2 linked regions of the Arabidopsis thaliana genome follow. The main gene of each other region encodes a partner of the protein of the gene in region 2 in a complex. Each region holds a gene or a part of one and is shown on either strand. Other genes may lie near its edges. A codon is read from its position in the direction of its gene.

Region 1 (3,953 bases), on a different chromosome or scaffold from region 2:
TCTTGGACTACCAGCTTACTACGTTATTGCCTCATCGGAGTCATCTTCGAATTTATCACGTTATGATGGTGTCAGGTAATCTCGGTATTATGACTTGACTCACAATATGAGTGCATCATGGATATAGAAAATGATATTGTTTCTTGTATTGGAAATGAAGATATGGTAATCAAGTTATGGCTGAAGAACTCAATAAGCTGTATGAATGTTCCCGTGGAGAAGGATTTGGAGGAGAGGTATGATTTCAGAATTTACTCCATCTGATTTAATCAACAAATGCTTGATTATAATCAATGACAATTTTGATTTCAAGGTGAAAATGAGAATTTTAATGGGGACATATGCACTTTCTGCGGGTTACTACGATGCTTACTACAAGCGAGCTCAACAGGTAAGCCGCATCTTCAAATGCAGTCAATAGAAATAGAACCTGTTTTGATAGATAAATGTATGCTCTTTTTGTTTGGTTGTTAATACAGGTGAGGACACTAATTCGAAAAGACTTCAAAGCAGCGTTAGAACAGAACGATATCCTTATTTCTCCGGCAGCTCCATCTGCTGCATACAAGATTGGTGAAAAGAAAGATGATCCACTGGCAATGTATGCTGGAGACATTATGACGGTAAAAATCTTTCGTAGTTTCTTTCTCTATTTAATCGTTGTTACACGAAACATAGTTTGTATCATATGAGGTTTGTTGCAGGTCAATGTGAATCTTGCCGGACTTCCTGCAATGGTATTACCTTGTGGATTAGTCGAAGGTGGTCCCTCGGGTCTTCCTGTTGGTCTTCAAATGATCGGAGCAGCGTTTGATGAGGTTTGTTATAAACTCTGTCTCTTTGCTTACTCTAAAAGATTAGATTAAGATTCACATGATGATTTGTTGATTGGTTTTAGGAGAAATTGCTGAAAGTGGGTCACATATTTGAGCAGACTCTTAAAGGATCGAGCTTTGTTCCTCCATTGTTAGCCAATGTAGCCTAACCATGTAACCACCAAGGCTCTTTTTGCGTTTACATTTCATGCTTGGTTTAAGCAACGGATTTATCAATTGTAATTGTACTTCAATTCTTTTATAATATAAATGTAGATACACCCCATGGGCCACATACGTATTCTTTCTTCTTCTTCTTCTTGGTCTCTATGCTCTTATTTGGTACTCCTAAATGGGGATGGTTTTTTTCTTTTATTCGTTTTTGATTTATTGGTCCTTGGCCCTTGCCATTGCATTCATGCACTTGATTATTGTTGAGTATCATGATTGATTAACACAATTTTTAAATATGTATATTTTGTTATAAATCTTGAGTAAATAAACTAAAAAATTGTATCAACTGAAAAGAAGTCCTTGCCATTGCATTCATGCACATGATTATTATTAATTATGGTTGTATCATGATTGATTAACACAATATTTAAATTTGTATATTTTGTTATAAATCTTGAGTAAGTAAACTTAAAATTTGTCCACTAGTACCAACACAAATCTTAATAAATGGTCAAAAGCATTACACGTTTCAAATAGATTATTGGCATTTTATAAAATGAAACTCTGGTGCTAGAGTATAAGTATAGACTACTTTAAAATTTCTAGAATAATTCTGAAGAAATCATATGTTATTACCTATAATTATGCAAACATATTAAAATCTCAGAAATCTAGTGGTCCAGACGAATATCTGTCTCCAGTGGACGATCAAAATCCAACGGATCATGCGTGTGCATGGTTTGACATTTACGTCTACTCCGTGAAAGTTGTCACATGAATATATAAACACATTAACCTATGAAAAGAGATTTTTGTTGGACGAAATGTTATGTTAGTTGTTATAACAGAACAAAATTATGTGCTGATAAATAATTTAAATATTAGGTGCCACAAATAATTTGCAGGTGAATAATTAACTATTAAATATGATAAATTAATTGTTTGGTAACCCCTAATAACGGAAATAATTTCTTTAAACAAAACTTGTTTATTTGGCCTATGGACTATACATGGTGGTTAGCTTCAAACTATTTACGCAAGTCCTTCTCAAGAGATCATGTTAAAAAGCTACAAGAAAAAGGAAAATAGAATTTACTTTTCTTTCAAAATCGAAGACCAAATGATTTGATAGTCATTGGCACCTAACTTTGGACTAAACAATCACGTACGCATTGTTCTTTTGTTCACACATAATGTGTATATAATATACAAAGTCTACAACAACGTGATTCTCTTACAAAAATTTAAATTTTACACACATAATTGATGATGAAATTATATTTTACACAATATAATACCAATAATGTTTGATAATTAAATTTTGACAGACAACTAGAGGTAATCACACGTACGTACACCATCGTCCAACGCGGCATTTCAAGTCTTTTATTCACTATCGTAGTATCGTTGACCTTTTAATATTATCACAAAATACTAACATTCCATTACTTGCGCTTCACTTCTTTATTTTTCTTTTGCTTTTCTTGTTTGACCAATCATACAAGAATGTGCATACTTTCATACATGATATATCATATATATACACGCTCATATATACATCTCAAAACTTAAACCGCCTTCTTAAAATCCAAAATTTATAAAACCCTAGCTAATAGCTAAATTAGTGTCTCCTCCTCCTTATTCTTCTTCTTTCTCCGAACATTATATGAATCTTTCTCATAAAACCATGTTTATGACTCTTTATATTGTTTTCCTCTTGATTTTTGGTTCATACAACGCCACGGCAAGGATCGGACCGATTAAGCTTTCTGAAACGGAAATAGTTCAAACAAGATCAAGACAAGAGATCATTGGGGGTTTTACATTCAAAGGTCGTGTGTTCCATTCATTTTCTAAAAGGGTACTTGTACCACCTTCGGGACCTTCCATGAGACATAATTCTGTGGTGAATAATCTCAAACACTAACTGTTTTTTTTTTCTTTTGGTTTAATTTCAATCTCTTAGGATTTGCTTCAAAAATTTTTTGACAATTACATGAAATTGTATTTCGAAAAGATTCTTAAAGTTGTATTTAATGAGTTCATTCACATTTGTAATATCTCGGTTGGAACGTTATACGTATGTATATAGACTATATCTTTCATTATTTGTTATGGGAACAAAAATTCAAATTGATAATGAACAAGACAATTTCTATTCACAAGCTATGGAATTTGCGAATTGTAGAAATCTCTCAGCAGTAATATAGATCCATTGGGATTGCATAAGTGAACTGCATGAGCCCATTTGCGGCCTGCGTCTATTCGTATGAGATGGGCTTCTTTAAGTTTGGCCTAATAATAATAAAAATTCAAAGAATTCACCAGACAGCTCCTCGTAGTGAGCTTCTCAGCCAAATCTCGCTCAACACTCATCATCTTCATGCATGTACTCTACATCCTCACTCATCAGTTGACTCAAAATCAAATAATCAAATCACTAGAAGCAAGTTTGGAATCAGTTACCCTTCAAAGTGAAACGCTTCTCATCAAACCTTCTGATGATTTCAGGGATCTGAAACACCAAAACATTTATGTAATCTTTATCAACCAAAGCAATGAACAACACATGAGAACCAAAGCAATGAACAACACATGAGGACCAAAACATATACGTAATCATGTTGGAGTCTGCTACAAATAGCTTTACAGGGAAGAAACAAAGCATGAATTAGTACATTGACTCTTTTGGATCAAAATGGATGGTACATATCTTGTGATTTATAATTTTTAGCTTGTTACAATCGTCATTGCATAGAACTTATATGAGTATTATGGATTGATCTTATATTTAAACATAAAAATATTTTTATACAAATAAATACTTTATAAGTTTCCAAGATATAAATTTGATATTTTATATAGATATATAAATATAAAATTTTACAAATAAATATCTTTCTCTTTTGCGGATCCAATAAAAGGGGTTAATCCCAACAAACTAGTTAAGTTAGAATTTGCGTT
Region 2 (7,064 bases):
ACTAGCTAGCAACAATTTGTAGGATGAAAGAGACTTTGCTTATAACAATCTCATAAGACAGAGATTTGTAGCTATTGTAGTGTACGTAATTTCTTAAATGTCTATCTTATAGGATACAAGTGTCGAACTCCGTTTAGTGTACCCTAATTTTTTTTTGACAACTTGTATTGTGTGTTTCACAGAAACTATTAGAAACACGAAGAAGAGAAGACTGCTTGGAATCAATCTATCTCCAAAATTTCACTCATCTATCTCTTTAAATATCATTCAAATGGTATGTTGATTAAAGTGATGCTTTTCTCAACCGATACATATGTTAGAACATACGTTTTCTAACTAACATATATGTAGGCAAAATTTGTGTTGTTCTTTTATGAGTTTATTATTTTGTTAAATTAAGATTAACTAAAATAAAATCAAATTCCAACTGATAAACTAAGATTGAGATTATGATAGTAAACGTAACAATTCTCATAATGTAACGGGCATGAAATCCAAATCGTAAGAAAATAAAAACAAAAATAGATAACAATTTTTTTTAACTGGATTCAACAATGTATTCACGTCCTCAAAAACAAAATTCTTGAACACAAGTACAGTTAGTGCAACTCTTTTTCACATCCTACAAAATAATTTACGATTTCGTTTAGCCGTAACAACTTATGAAAACCAAGTTGTGAGAATAAGAACAAAGTGTACACACAGTTTGTTTTTCACAATACATTATTTTACGTCTTCCAATTTTGTTGCATATCAACCTAAAATTTAAAAACCATAAAGAACTCTTATTCGACTCGAATACTTTTTTAAGACTATGACATCTCTAAGATAAGCAATACTCATGACTCTCGCTTGAGAAGTGCATTCTCATATTGACTACACCATTAGGCAATATGTTTCCTAACGTTTAACCATACAAGTTTGTCCCCCTCTTTCCCTTTGCAATACTAATTAGTATAACAAATTTCATTAGAGAATGTTTAATTTCATAAATATCTCAATATTTTGATATCTTATCCTATCTTCCATATTTTCTTTGCATTTTTTGTAAATAACTACATATTATTATCTTCAAAAATGAATTTCACATTTCAACAAAATAAAATATTTTCATGTTTCTACATGCATGCTAGTTTATTCTCTTAATAGTTGATACAATATTCCTAATACTCTTTAAGACGTGCATAAACTTTTTAAAATTGAATGATAATTAATTTAATTCACATCGACTTTAGACTACGTTCCAAGTAAACTTCCAACACATTCTGTTTTTTTTTTTTTTGATATGTTCTAACAATATTTGTACTTTACTACTTTACAAACGCCGATAATAAATAAAACTGTCGGAATATATCTCATTCCATCTCCAAAAAAAAAAAAAAAAAAAAATCAGATATCTACATTTCAAAATTAATGTTTACCGTACCTTCTTTTCACCTTGCAATTTTTTTAAAATGCACATTTACTCTACTAACTAACTTTTCATTTACATTAAAAACATATATAATGAAATCAAATTTGTATGCAAATTCCATATATATTATAAAGCTAAAATTATTTAATTGAAAATTTACAATCTTATCGTCTCCTACATAACTAATTTAAAAACAGTTGCATTCTCTTAAACAACAAAGTACAAAAAAAGAATGTTTCCTTCCATATGGCTATTTAGCTAGATCATCATTATTAGTAACATTCTCTTTTATAATCAGATAAACACAGGATAATTATACAATGTTGGAAACTCGACATAGATACTAATAATTGCAAACAAATAATTAGAGAGAATCGTTATAGAAAACAAAAACAAAATAAATGATAGTAGAAAAACAAATGATTTTTATAGCATTCACAGTCAGAGTCACGATAATTCACCTGTCTCCGGTCAACGCTTTTTATAGACTCTCTTCTTCTCTTCCTTCAAAGCACTCTCTCACAAACACTCTCTTCTTCATACTCTCTTATCTCTCTCTCTTTCTTCAACCACCGTCATAGATACCGGGGAAGACGAAGAAACATGTATCTTCTCTTTCTCTTCTTACTTTTCCCCACCGTCTTCTCTCTTAACCAAGACGGTTTCATTCTTCAACAAGTCAAGCTCTCGTTAGACGACCCAGACTCATATCTCTCTTCCTGGAACTCCAACGATGCTTCTCCTTGTCGGTGGTCCGGCGTTTCCTGCGCCGGTGATTTCTCCTCCGTCACTTCCGTAGACCTCTCCAGCGCTAATCTCGCCGGACCTTTTCCTTCAGTCATTTGTCGTCTCTCTAATCTGGCTCATCTCTCTTTGTACAATAACTCCATCAACTCTACTCTTCCTCTCAACATCGCTGCTTGTAAGAGTCTTCAAACTCTCGATCTCTCTCAGAATCTACTCACCGGTGAGCTTCCACAAACTCTTGCCGATATTCCGACTTTGGTTCACTTAGATTTGACCGGTAACAACTTTTCCGGTGACATTCCGGCGAGTTTCGGCAAATTCGAAAACCTAGAGGTTCTTTCTCTTGTTTACAATCTCTTAGACGGTACGATTCCTCCGTTTCTCGGCAACATCAGCACGTTGAAGATGCTGAATCTTTCGTATAACCCCTTTAGTCCGAGTCGGATCCCGCCGGAGTTCGGGAACTTGACGAATCTCGAGGTTATGTGGCTCACTGAGTGTCATTTAGTCGGACAGATCCCTGACTCGCTGGGTCAACTCAGTAAACTCGTTGATTTAGACCTTGCGCTCAACGACCTTGTAGGTCATATTCCTCCTTCGCTCGGTGGTTTGACTAACGTCGTTCAGATTGAGCTGTACAACAACTCGTTGACCGGAGAGATTCCACCGGAGCTCGGGAATTTGAAATCGTTGAGACTTCTCGACGCGTCGATGAATCAGTTAACCGGGAAAATACCGGACGAGCTTTGCCGTGTGCCGTTGGAGAGTTTGAATCTCTACGAGAACAATCTAGAAGGTGAGCTTCCGGCGAGTATAGCGTTATCTCCGAACTTGTACGAGATTAGAATATTCGGAAACCGGTTAACCGGTGGATTACCAAAAGACCTCGGTCTAAACTCGCCGTTGAGATGGTTGGATGTTTCGGAAAACGAATTTTCCGGCGACTTACCGGCGGATCTGTGTGCGAAAGGAGAGCTAGAGGAGTTGTTGATTATACACAATTCCTTCTCCGGCGTTATACCGGAGAGTCTCGCCGATTGCAGGAGCTTGACACGTATCCGGTTAGCTTATAACCGGTTTTCCGGTTCAGTTCCTACAGGTTTCTGGGGATTGCCTCATGTTAACTTGCTTGAGCTCGTCAACAACTCGTTCTCCGGTGAAATTTCGAAGTCCATTGGAGGTGCTTCAAATCTCTCGCTGTTGATTCTCTCCAACAATGAATTCACCGGATCTTTGCCGGAGGAAATTGGTTCTTTGGATAATCTTAATCAGTTGTCGGCAAGTGGGAACAAGTTCAGTGGCTCGTTGCCTGATAGCTTGATGAGTCTTGGAGAATTAGGTACTCTTGATCTTCATGGTAATCAGTTTTCAGGAGAGTTAACTTCTGGAATCAAATCTTGGAAGAAGCTCAACGAGTTAAACTTAGCCGATAACGAATTCACCGGTAAAATTCCAGATGAAATCGGGAGTTTGTCAGTATTGAACTATCTTGATCTTTCTGGTAACATGTTCTCTGGCAAGATCCCGGTTTCATTGCAGAGTTTGAAGCTAAACCAGCTGAATCTGTCTTATAACCGGTTATCGGGTGACTTACCGCCTTCTTTAGCGAAAGATATGTATAAGAATAGCTTCATTGGGAACCCGGGATTGTGTGGGGATATCAAGGGATTGTGTGGCTCTGAGAATGAAGCTAAGAAGAGAGGCTATGTATGGCTTCTTAGATCGATTTTCGTACTTGCTGCGATGGTGCTTCTTGCGGGTGTTGCTTGGTTCTACTTCAAGTACAGGACTTTCAAGAAAGCAAGAGCCATGGAGAGATCTAAGTGGACTCTAATGTCGTTCCACAAACTCGGGTTCAGTGAGCATGAGATTCTTGAAAGCTTGGATGAAGATAATGTGATTGGAGCTGGAGCTTCAGGTAAAGTTTACAAGGTTGTACTCACCAATGGGGAAACTGTTGCGGTTAAGCGTTTATGGACAGGTTCTGTTAAGGAAACTGGAGATTGTGATCCAGAGAAAGGTTACAAACCTGGAGTTCAAGATGAGGCTTTTGAAGCTGAAGTTGAGACATTGGGTAAGATTAGGCATAAGAACATTGTGAAGCTATGGTGTTGCTGTTCTACAAGAGACTGCAAGCTCTTGGTTTATGAGTACATGCCTAATGGTAGTTTGGGAGATTTGCTTCATAGCAGTAAAGGAGGAATGTTGGGATGGCAAACGAGGTTTAAGATTATCTTAGATGCGGCTGAGGGGCTTTCGTATCTTCACCATGATTCTGTTCCTCCGATTGTGCATAGAGATATTAAGTCAAACAATATTTTGATCGATGGAGATTATGGTGCAAGAGTTGCTGATTTTGGTGTGGCTAAAGCTGTCGACTTGACCGGAAAAGCTCCTAAATCGATGTCAGTGATCGCTGGTTCATGCGGTTATATCGCACCAGGTTAGTCTTATGATTCAAGTTAAATGTGCTTTGTTTAATCAACAGTTTTGCTTAAGGTAATAATGCTCATTTGGTACATGTTGCACGGAGATTCAGATGAACCACATTTAAGTTTTATTAGTTGAGACTTAAATGAGCATTCACTATCTATTGAGACATGTCTGAAACCATGGCTCCACAACTTCTCACTTGTCCATTAATGGAATTTGAAACTTTTTGTTTGTTTGTCTGTTTCCCTCCATAACTTTCATTTCAAACTTCTTGCAGAATACGCATATACGCTTCGTGTGAACGAGAAAAGCGACATCTACAGTTTCGGGGTAGTGATCCTTGAGATAGTAACTAGGAAACGCCCGGTTGATCCAGAACTTGGGGAGAAGGATTTGGTGAAGTGGGTTTGCTCTACATTGGACCAAAAAGGCATAGAGCATGTGATAGACCCGAAACTCGACTCTTGTTTCAAAGAAGAGATAAGCAAAATCCTCAACGTTGGACTCCTCTGCACGAGTCCGTTGCCCATTAACCGACCTTCCATGAGGCGTGTGGTTAAGATGTTGCAAGAAATTGGTGGTGGAGACGAAGATAGCCTACACAAGATAAGAGATGACAAGGATGGCAAGTTAACACCTTATTACAACGAAGACACCTCAGACCAAGGAAGTATAGCTTGAGACACAAATGGAGAAAGAAAAGTGTTTTGCCCAAAAAAGCTCTCTCAATTTTTGGTGCTTGAAGCTGTCAATTTAGGGCATTGAATCAAGATTCTCTCACCCCTTTTTAGGGTTTTGATCTAAAAGTGAGAATCAGAGATTGTCGAAATTTTTATAATATATATAAAGAAGTTTCTAATTCAGCGTTTCAGTTTCTCCACTGTATAAAGCTATTAGTAAACTCTGGTTTTGTAAGAGTTTTTATCTTTGGTAAATGCAAATGAAAAAGTTGCGATCTTTCTGGCGTTAACATGCATTTAAATAGTTTCCATATTTGGGTAAACAGATTCAAGGTTCGTGTAGGAACATGTCTATCTGAATCTTTTAAAGCATTAGGCTCTCTCTCTCTCTCTCGTTTTTAGTGAACTCTTGGAGGCTCGTGTACAGTTTGATGTCACTGTAGATTCACATGTCTCTTAAATTCTCAACTTTTTCAAACCAACTTTTCTATTATTATTTATAATTTCAGGTTGTGTTATTTCCTTTACTTACTCTCTCCGTACACGAGCATGAACATCAGACTTGGCACATGAAATGACTAATATCAACCTTCCTGCGAAAAGATCTCTAACTTTTAGTTACTTGTGTGAAGTCTAGTATCTATAATAAACAACGTATGTTTTTTTGACAGTCATTCTTTAAAACATGATATTCTTGGAGTTCGAGAACTATTTGTAAGAAAGATATAATTCCAAAAAGAGAAAAAGAATTAGTTAAGTCATGTAAATCGACCGGTAGTGATTAGGTAAACGTTTAACTTCCTAATTGCAATTAAGTAACGACATTAAAAACTAAAGAGATAACTTCTATTATTGTTGAGTATAAAACAAATCCAAAACAAAAACATTGACATCTCAACATTAGCTAAGCTTTATCATCTAACTAGAGAATTTTACATTAAGGTTACATAAATAGGGTGAGAATCTAAATATGAGCTGTTGGGTGAGGAAATTAAAAGTGGGTCCAATAAGCATTGAAGCCAGCCCACATTGTTATCATTCAATTCAAGGGACATAGACACCTCACCTTCATCTTTTGCCTTGTCTCTCTGTCTCTTTCACTCTCTAAATCATTTCTCAATTTTGTTTTCTTTGTTTTTGCATTTCCTTTTTGTTTATTTTTTTCAACTTGTTGCATGATGAGGTTTCATAGAGATTCCACATAACATGTTTGTATTTGCTAGAACAAGTACACTCTTTTTTTATTCTATTTTGATAGTTGTGTGAAGTTTCTTTTATATGTGATGCAACTTTGTTCTAGTAATTTTGGTATAGTAGTCTTGCTAGTGGTTGGTATGATATGAGTAAGATAGTTCGTGGGTAGCATAATTATTTATAAGAAACAAAGAATTATAATGGAAAGCATAGTAGGGACTAAGGGACCAAAGTTCAATAGATAAGGTCAGGATTGCGAAATGATCATGTACATCATTAATACATATGAGAGTAATTGAGTGTTATTGTGACCCACACCACACGGTACACACTCACACCTTAGGGGTCATATGGCTTTTAAATGGGCCTATCGGACCCACATTGTTTTCCACATTTTTGAATAAGTCTTACATATCGACTCTACTCTCTCTATTCTCAAATTTGTCAAAGGCCCATTAAAAAAACTAGGAAAGACAAAAGACGATTTTGGTATATGTTTTTTTATATTTTTTTGTAAAGATAATATATGTTGTAAACAAATAACTTGCCAAGCTTCTAAAGAACTTGTAAAATGTTTGAAAACTTACTAAAAACCT

What was found. Proteins that work in one complex are often made in the same cells at the same time.
Region 1: the proteins of HSL1 (region 2) and IDL1 are in contact, whole or in part, in a crystal structure (PDB 7OGO), measured with the Arabidopsis thaliana proteins. Residues at the interface, in NP_174166.1 of Arabidopsis thaliana: Tyr92 (codon at 2,291), Asn93 (codon at 2,294), Gln117 (codon at 2,366), Thr140 (codon at 2,435), Gly141 (codon at 2,438), Val164 (codon at 2,507), Tyr165 (codon at 2,510), Tyr189 (codon at 2,582), Trp211 (codon at 2,648), Asp233 (codon at 2,714), Asp235 (codon at 2,720), Gln257 (codon at 2,786), Glu259 (codon at 2,792), Tyr261 (codon at 2,798), Leu281 (codon at 2,858), Leu282 (codon at 2,861), Asp283 (codon at 2,864), Ser285 (codon at 2,870), Met286 (codon at 2,873), Ser304 (codon at 2,927), Asn306 (codon at 2,933), Tyr308 (codon at 2,939), Glu309 (codon at 2,942), Glu328 (codon at 2,999), Arg330 (codon at 3,005), Phe332 (codon at 3,011), Asp354 (codon at 3,077), Ser356 (codon at 3,083), Glu376 (codon at 3,143), Leu378 (codon at 3,149); in NP_566774.1 of Arabidopsis thaliana: Val66 (codon at 2,851), Leu67 (codon at 2,854), Val68 (codon at 2,857), Pro69 (codon at 2,860), Pro70 (codon at 2,863), Ser71 (codon at 2,866), Gly72 (codon at 2,869), Pro73 (codon at 2,872), Ser74 (codon at 2,875), Met75 (codon at 2,878), Arg76 (codon at 2,881), His77 (codon at 2,884), Asn78 (codon at 2,887).

The regions. Positions count from the first base shown.
Region 1 is NC_003074.8:9,336,672-9,340,624, reverse strand, and holds IDL1 (inflorescence deficient in abscission (IDA)-like 1), read left to right. Parts: upstream 1-2,549; 5' UTR 2,550-2,655; coding exon 2,656-2,916; 3' UTR 2,917-3,194; downstream 3,195-3,953. Other genes in the region: AT3G25660 (Amidase family protein), read left to right, coding at 1-75, 161-236, 314-391, 480-623, 705-818, 899-985. UniProt on the Arabidopsis thaliana protein: Involved in an ethylene-independent separation step of floral abscission. May act with RLK5 and HSL2 as ligand-receptor pairs.
Region 2 is NC_003070.9:9,994,897-10,001,960, forward strand, and holds HSL1 (HAESA-like 1), read left to right. Parts: upstream 1-1,816; 5' UTR 1,817-2,017; coding exon 2,018-4,604; intron 4,605-4,871; coding exon 4,872-5,275; 3' UTR 5,276-5,559; downstream 5,560-7,064.